2 linked regions of the Rattus norvegicus genome follow. The protein of the gene in region 2 interacts with the protein of the main gene of each other region in a pairwise test. Links are inferred from orthologs where the notes say so. Each region holds a gene or a part of one and is shown on either strand. Other genes may lie near its edges.

What was found. The genes of interacting proteins can lie anywhere in the genome.
Region 1: the proteins of Zgpat (region 2) and Cdca7l interact in binary tests that used the Homo sapiens proteins (3 or more experiments, as listed by UniProt). The two-hybrid records come from large-scale screens. The link is inferred for Rattus norvegicus from reciprocal best matches to the Homo sapiens genes ZGPAT and CDCA7L.

Annotation. Positions count from the first base shown.
Region 1 is NC_086024.1:144,975,176-144,978,824, forward strand, and holds part of Cdca7l (cell division cycle-associated 7-like protein), read left to right. Parts: exon of another isoform or gene 1-53; intron 54-1,022; coding exon 1,023-1,379; intron 1,380-2,755; coding exon 2,756-2,827; intron 2,828-2,928; coding exon 2,929-3,099; intron 3,100-3,649. UniProt on the Homo sapiens protein: Plays a role in transcriptional regulation as a repressor that inhibits monoamine oxidase A (MAOA) activity and gene expression by binding to the promoter.
Region 2 is NC_086021.1:188,850,811-188,854,522, forward strand, and holds the start of Zgpat (zinc finger CCCH-type with G patch domain-containing protein), read left to right. Parts: upstream 1-808; 5' UTR 809-943; coding exon 944-1,512; intron 1,513-3,712. Other genes in the region: Arfrp1 (ADP-ribosylation factor-related protein 1), read right to left, coding at 1-98, 505-663. UniProt on the Homo sapiens protein: Transcription repressor that specifically binds the 5'-GGAG[GA]A[GA]A-3' consensus sequence. Represses transcription by recruiting the chromatin multiprotein complex NuRD to target promoters.

The sequences.
Region 1 (3,649 bases), on a different chromosome or scaffold from region 2:
CTTCCGAAGCTGGCAGAATACTAGCCACTCTCCAGACGCGATCCCAAGAGGTCAAAAATTTGTATTTTTAACTGATTCATAGGAACATCATGAGGCAGATGATTTTAAAAAGCATAAGTGTTTAGTGCTAACTGGAAAGTAGACTATTTGTCTGAAAATAGATAATACCCCTTCCTTTGCTGGCGAGGTGAGGCTAGCTTATGCCTATTCGATGTCATCAGCTTTTACACAACGCTGGACACAACCTGCAGGACGGTTGGTGGTGACAGTGGCTTTCTCCATTGCTCTCCTTCCCTCAGGCATCACTTAGGGCTTGTAAGTCCTGTGGTTGCCTCACCCACTCTGCTCTGGGCAGATGCTTCTGCTCAGACACCCAGTGTTTTTTCCCAGATGTTTCAGATTGTCACTAGAAAGACACGAAGACCTTCAAAACTTGATGGGTTTCATAACTAGGTGACTTCTTTAACTGCTAGTAGTTCTTTAGCTTGGTGATACCTAGTTAAGGAGTTTTTGTTTCTAATGAGGGGAAGTAAACTGCTCCCAAAGCCCCTCTTGCTTAAAATCTATATACTGTGTGATATATACAAATGTGTGTGTGTGTGTGTGTGTGTGTGTGTGTGTGTGTGTGTATAAAACTGTATATATAGAGAGATAGGTATAGATGCATGGATGGATGATGGATGGATAGATAGATGGATACACACACACACACACACACACACAACACACACAGTTTCAGGGTAGGCCTACTCACAAACTTCATTATTGAATGCATTGAGGACATATTGTACGAATCAGTTTTCCATCACTAGGACAGAATACCAGGGTCTATTGTCTGTGGCCCACAGCTTGAAGGTTTCAGCACCTCATCAGTTGGCCCTGTTGCTCTGTGTCTGTCCAGCGAGGCAGGAACATGTGGTGGAGCAAATTCTGACCTGTATTCCTACCTAGAACAGTCGCCTGGTCTAGTTTTGGTAGGTGATTACAGACTCTCTTCAGTCTCCTTTCTCCTTGTCCCTTAGCTCATAGAGTCAGAGCTGAGCGATGGTGACAAAACACATCCTATGATGAGTGACGAGGAGGACGATGATGATGAAGAGGAGGCTGCACCTAGAAGAGGCCGCCAGTCCACGAGAAGCAGTTTTGGCCTCCGGGTAGCCTTTCAGTTCCCCACCAAAAAAACGGCAAAAACGCCAGATAAAAATAGCCCGCACTTGCTGGGCGGCAAGACGGATCTTAGAAGAGAGAAGAGCTGCAGGCAGCCCAAGGAAAAGGAAGACTCTGCTTCTGACGCTGAGGACGAGTCGAGGGCTGAGAGCCAGGAGACTTCAGATGCTCTGCTGAAAAGGGCCATGAACATCAAAGAGAACAAGGCCATGGTACGCTCTCATAGCAGCTAGGACCATAGCCAGCTACCCCAAGGGTTGCTGACACAGCTTTGCTCTCTGAGGGAAAGTATACCCTGGGGCACATTTGTGTTGTGATTAACTCCGGTTTGGGGATGGAAAGGCTAAGGACCATTTATCCCTGCTCCAAGGAGGCAGGAGGCTGCTGCTCGTGGTTGAGCAGGCTAAGTTCTAAGTTGGCAGAGGCATTGGAGAGTTAGAGGGACTGACCCAGCTGCACTGTCCCCCGCAGAAAGAAGCAAAGAGTTGCTGGGCTGTCACCAAGCCCGGGGGAAATTGCAGTGGGCAGGTGGTGGCTTCTATCTGAAAGCCACTCTTCCAGAGACATCATCTGAAGGGATGAGAAATGGCCACAGTTAAAGCAGCCGCTGCCGTGTTCTGATTCAGTTACGCCTTGCCTGGTGGTTAGCTCAACCTAGAGCAACCTTCGTTCTGTGTATTCGGGTTTGCTATGTGCTCTGTGTCAGTAACTTAGCCCAATCATTGAAAGTAATTCTTCCTAATTTTTACACTGGCAAAATTAAAAAGAGATTCTACTGGTCATAATTTTCTTTTCTCTCCTCGTTGATGGCTTTTTAAATGCCATCCTTTAAAAAAAAAATGCACATTGCTGATACTTTATACACAGACCTACCCCTAGCAAATTAAGAGAACACAGTAACCTGTGAATTTTGTTTGTTCGGGATGGGAGTGCTCGGCTAAAGGAAATTTTAGCATTCTGTCTGTCTGCATTTGTTGGTATACGTGGCGGTTCTTAGTGGTGTCATGTTTAATATAAATCTAAAACCTGAAAATCCCGAGTAAAGAGCCTGGTTGGTTGGCGTTAGGTCTCTGAGGGTAGAGACAGATGTATGTATGTGTGGAGGTGGGAATGTCTGAGGTGCAGCTGCAGGGAGACTAGAGCGGTCTTGATCCTCTTGCCTCTGCATCCTGGTGCTGGAACTATATCGAGTAGCACCATTTAAGCCCCAGCAGAACTGGGAGTTCTGAGGGCCGTCCAGATGGTGGGTCAAGCTGATATTTGAGTTTCAAGTTTGTAAAATGTGCTCCGGGTCACACTGCTAAGATAGTGGTGAAATCAGGACCTGATGCTCCTGGCCCCAGACATGCCAAGGCAACCATGTCTTCCTTGTGTTCTGTTGTCTCTGTATATAAGGAAGGGGTGTGATGCTGACTCAGATGAACAGCGGCATCCTCCTCTAACTCAGGAGGTGAATTCTTACGTGAGGCTATTAAGTTACTGAGGTTTATGGAAGCCATAGTGAGTAGTTCGGAGACGTAGGAGAGGTGTTGGCTCAGACCTGTCTCCTTGACTGATGTCAGACCCCCCCTTTGTTTTTGAACCTTAGCTTGCTCAGTTGTTGGCGGAATTGAATTCAGTGCCAGATTTCTTCCCCGTGAGGACGCCACCCTCAGCTTCTGTAAGTTGAAACTCCTGATTTCCCAGACTGGCCCTGCTTCTGGGAACTCATAGCCACCCTCGGTTTAACTCAGCTCCATCTGTCTGTGCCCTTGGTTTTAGAGGAGGAGAACACCTCGACGGGCCTTCTCAGAGGGACAGATCACACGGCGCGTGAACCCAACCCGGAGCGCACGGCCCCCAGAAAAGTTTGCTCTGGAAAACTTCACCTTCTCAGCCACCAAGCTTACCGAAGAGCTTTACAGTTTCAGAAGAAGAAAGACAATCAGTGGGGTAATTATTGACGAATAAACAAATGGGCCTCAAGTGCAAGTATTTCACTATGCTGGGGCGGGCTGTGGTGGTGTCTTGAGTCAGCAGGCTTCCAGGAGTTGAGAACTTGAGTTTTCACCTTGCTCCTGTGAAAGCGTGCGTTGAAAAGACCCTTGGGCTAAGCTGCAGATGACTTAGGAGTCCTTTTGTCTAAAACAGAGCTGAGGACGTTGGGTGGCTCAGGGAGAGAGTACTTGCGCAGCATGCAGGAGTTTCTGGCTTTGATCCAATGCTTTACCAGCAGCAGCCAAGCCAGCTTTGCAGTTTTGTGCTATGAAAGATGCAAGAGTTCCTCTTGTCCGCTTCAGGAGTGGCTGTTGGGGAGGAGGGAGGAACTTGGGAGCCGCTCCATATATGGGCATGGCTGTTTACCTCCTTATCCCCTCCAAGTTTATGACTCCTCAGCCAATGCTGTCTTGATCTCCCAAGGGAGTGTGGGATGGGGCAAACAACCACACAGACAATAGAGACTCCGTAACCCTGCACTCTAAGCTTGTTTATTTTCATCCTG
Region 2 (3,712 bases):
AGCAGCGTGTACATCCTGTTTGGCACCCTGAGAGATGTCAAGGTGTGTACCAGGGTCATCGGCCTCCTGCCCGCTTCATCAGTGATCAGTCTATCCTGCTAGTTTTTAAATGAGGATCCTGACTCTCCCCCCCACCCCCTTCGGTTAAAAATCTCTGACCCTGACTCCACCCTTGCCCACCTGCTAAACCTGGGCCACTCCCACTTAAGGTCATCTTTCAGAATACACCATCGACCTGGAACCCTGAAAAGCCCGTGGCGGCCTACTCTACTCCGCCTTCCAAAGGATCCTCTTTCCGAACCCTCAACTCAGCGACAGGAAGCAGGGCCAGCGGACTGTCTAGGGAGCTACCAAAGAGGCAAAGCTTCTGGCGAGGGTCGGCTTCGGATTCCCGCCGCTGCTGGGCCCACGGAGACTAGGAACCATCTGCTGAAGCCACTTCCGTCCCCCTATTTCAGGACTCTAGAACCCCAGCTCCTCAATTCAGCTGAGGCCCACCTGTACCTGCTCAAATTTTGGAGGAGGAGCCGCCGCCACCGCGTTACTAACCCCACCGACCTCACGTTGACCCCTCACGGTGCCTGACGGAACGAGGATCGACAGACCCAGCACGGGCGGAGTCGCATCCCAGCGTCCCCCGCGCGCCGGTACTTCCGGCAGCATCGGCTCTCCGGCGGAAGTGCCAGCGGAGGGCGGAAGGTTAGCGCGTGAGCTTTGCTGGGGAAGCCGGAAACCCTTCTAGACTGCGACCGCAGTCAGGAGGTGGGGTTGCGGACGGCAGAGGACGGGGGCGGGTTAAGTGCAGGTCCCCTCGGCAGAGCCTGGGTCCTCCTCAGCCTTTCTAGCGGTTTGGGGGGGGCGGCGTTGCACTTAGCCCTTCTTACTGCTCTTCCTTCAGAGCTTGTCTGCCTTAAAGGTTCCGAAACCAGCCTTCTGGGTCAGGATGGACGAGGACAACCTAGAGACTGCCCTGCAGACCTACCGGGCCCAGCTTCAGCAAGTAGAGCTGGCGCTCGGTGCTGGCCTAGACGCTTCTGAGCAGGCGGACCTGCGCCAGCTGCAGGGCGATCTAAAAGAATTGATCGAGCTCACCGAGGCCAGCCTGTTGTCGGTCAGGAAGAGCAAGCTGCTATCTACAGTGGACCAGGAGCACCAAGAAGATGCTGAGTACTTGGCTTTCCAGAAGGCTATAGCGGAGGAAGCACCCGTTGACCCCGGCAATGACTCGAAGACGGTCCCTGGGAGCGAGGTGCAGCCGACACCCACCTCCTCTGCACTGGAGGAAGAGGAAGAGGACCCAGATCTGGAGGATCTGAGCGGTGCTAAAGTGAATGCCCCCTACTACAGCGCGTGGGGCACGCTAGAGTATCACAACGCCATGGTTGTTGGCGCCGAAGAGGCGGAGGATGGTTCTGCGTGCGTTCGGGTACTCTACCTATACCCTACCCACAAGTCCCTGAAGCCCTGCCCGTTCTTCCTGGAGGGAAAGTGCCGGTTCAAGGAGAACTGCAGGTAAAACCCTCTGCTACTAGCAATGTGGGACACGTAGTCAGGACCACCGCTGTGGCCTGCCGCCACAACTTTTTCTGCACCCTGCAGAGTTGATAATGAAGAGTCCGAGCTTCAGGTGACTGACAGGCTTTTACAGAAGTGTTCTTCGTTTGTCTACTTAGATTTTCTTGCATAAATCAAAAAGTTTGAAAGGGCTATTGTTGAAAGGATAGGGCAACCCATCATCAATATTATTCTCCAAGGTAAAACGTTTTTTGCTTTGAGATGGCAATGTAACCTCGGCTGTTCTTCAATTCCTGATCCTTCAGCAATTGTGCTAGATCCCGAATGCCTTCAACTTCCAAATGCTAGGATTACAGGTGGAGGCCACCACCACTTTTACTGGGCTACATCTTCAGCTTGGAACCTTTTTTTTTTTTTTTTTTTTTTTTGACTATGATGAGGTGGAACTAGGGCCTCCAGCACACCAGGCAGTCAGCTACTCTACACCTCAGTCCTACCCTCAGCTATGGGGAGCGTTTATATATAGTCTTACAGAACATTCAAACACATAACCTCTTGCTACTTTGCCTTTCCCCCTTGTGCTACCTTTGGCAAGTCACATCTTTTTCTCTCACCCTCAAATACTTCAGAATGTAGCTAAATAATAATTACTAAAACCTACCTATGTCTTTTTTTTAAAAAAAAAAAAAGATTTACTTGTTATATATAAGTGCACAGACACACCAGAAGAGGACACCAGATCCCATTACAGATGGTTGTGAGCCACCATGTAGTGGCTGGGATTTGAACTCAGGACCTCTGGAAGAGCAGTCAGTGCTCTTAACTTAACCAGAGTTATTTCTCCAGCCCCTATGTCTTTTTTTAACTCAATAATCCAGAGTAACTCTAGTGCTTTGAATTTATTTTAGGCCACTGAAATAAAAACAGATTTGTTCTACTATAATAGTAGTTAGTAGTGATCTAAAATTAGTTTCACTTGGCCAAAGGCAGGATTTTAAGCAGGGCTAGATCCTTGGAAGTCTGAGGGTAGAATCCAGAATCCATTTCTTTGTCCTTTTTTTTTTTTTAATTATTATTATTTTATTTTGACTTATTTATTTTTTTTACCTTTTTAATGTTTTTCTCCAAGGATCCATAGGTTTCTTTTGTTTTGTTTTGGTTTGGTGCAGGGTCTCTGTGTAGTCCTGGCTGTCTTGGACTACATATAGCTATGAAGACCTGACTGGCCTTGAACTCACTACCCAAAGGCTGATATTAAAGGTTTGCACCATGGCCCGGCTATTTTTGGCCGGCTATTTTTGGCTTTTTTGAGACAAAGTTTCTATAGTAGTCCTGGTGGCTGTCCTGGAACTTACTTTATAAACCAGGCTAGCCTGGAACTAACAGAGAGCCACCCGCTTCTGCCCTCTGAGTGCTGTGATTAAAGGCAAGCACTACCATTTCTGGCTAAGATAAATTTTTAGTTATGTGTATTTGTGTGTGAGTGCATGCGTATGTGTGTGTGTAGGGGGGTGGGGGGTGTGTACCTACACAATCTTCTAGCCTGAGAAAACTAGAAGAAGGTGTTAACCACTGAGCCGTCTCTCCAACCTCCAGAGACCAACTGTATTCCTTGGTTTGTGGCCTCCTCACATCGCTTTAGGCTCTTATTCCCACGTTACATCTGTACTCTGCACATCTTATTTCTTTACTTTGTCTTTAAAATGAGGTCTCATGTAGCTCAGGCTGGCCACACACAGCCATTTCTATATACCCAAGGATGACTTTGAACTCTTGGTCTTCTTGACTTCACCTTCAAGGGCCAGAATTGTAAGCAAGTGCTACCTATCTTGGCTGTGCACATCTTTTTGTTGTATTTCATGGTAGACCGGACATGTCCTTGCCCAATCTTCCTTTGCTAGCAGATAGGTGCATAAGTGATCTGTGTGCCCAGCAGGTTTACTTTATTTGTGTATGGACAGGGTCTCTCTGTTGTGCAGCCCTGGCTGACTAGAGATGAGTTTGCCTCTGTCTCTGGAGTGCTGGGATTAAAAGAGTGCTGTTGTTGTAAAATTAAATTAAAAACTGTCTTTTACCCCCCACTAGATCCAGCACCGCATTGCCCCAAGATCTGCTAGATATCTTGCCTGAAACACACATCCCAACTCTGGCGGCCCCCCTGCAGCCACACACTCTCCGAAACTCAATTTTCTTTGAT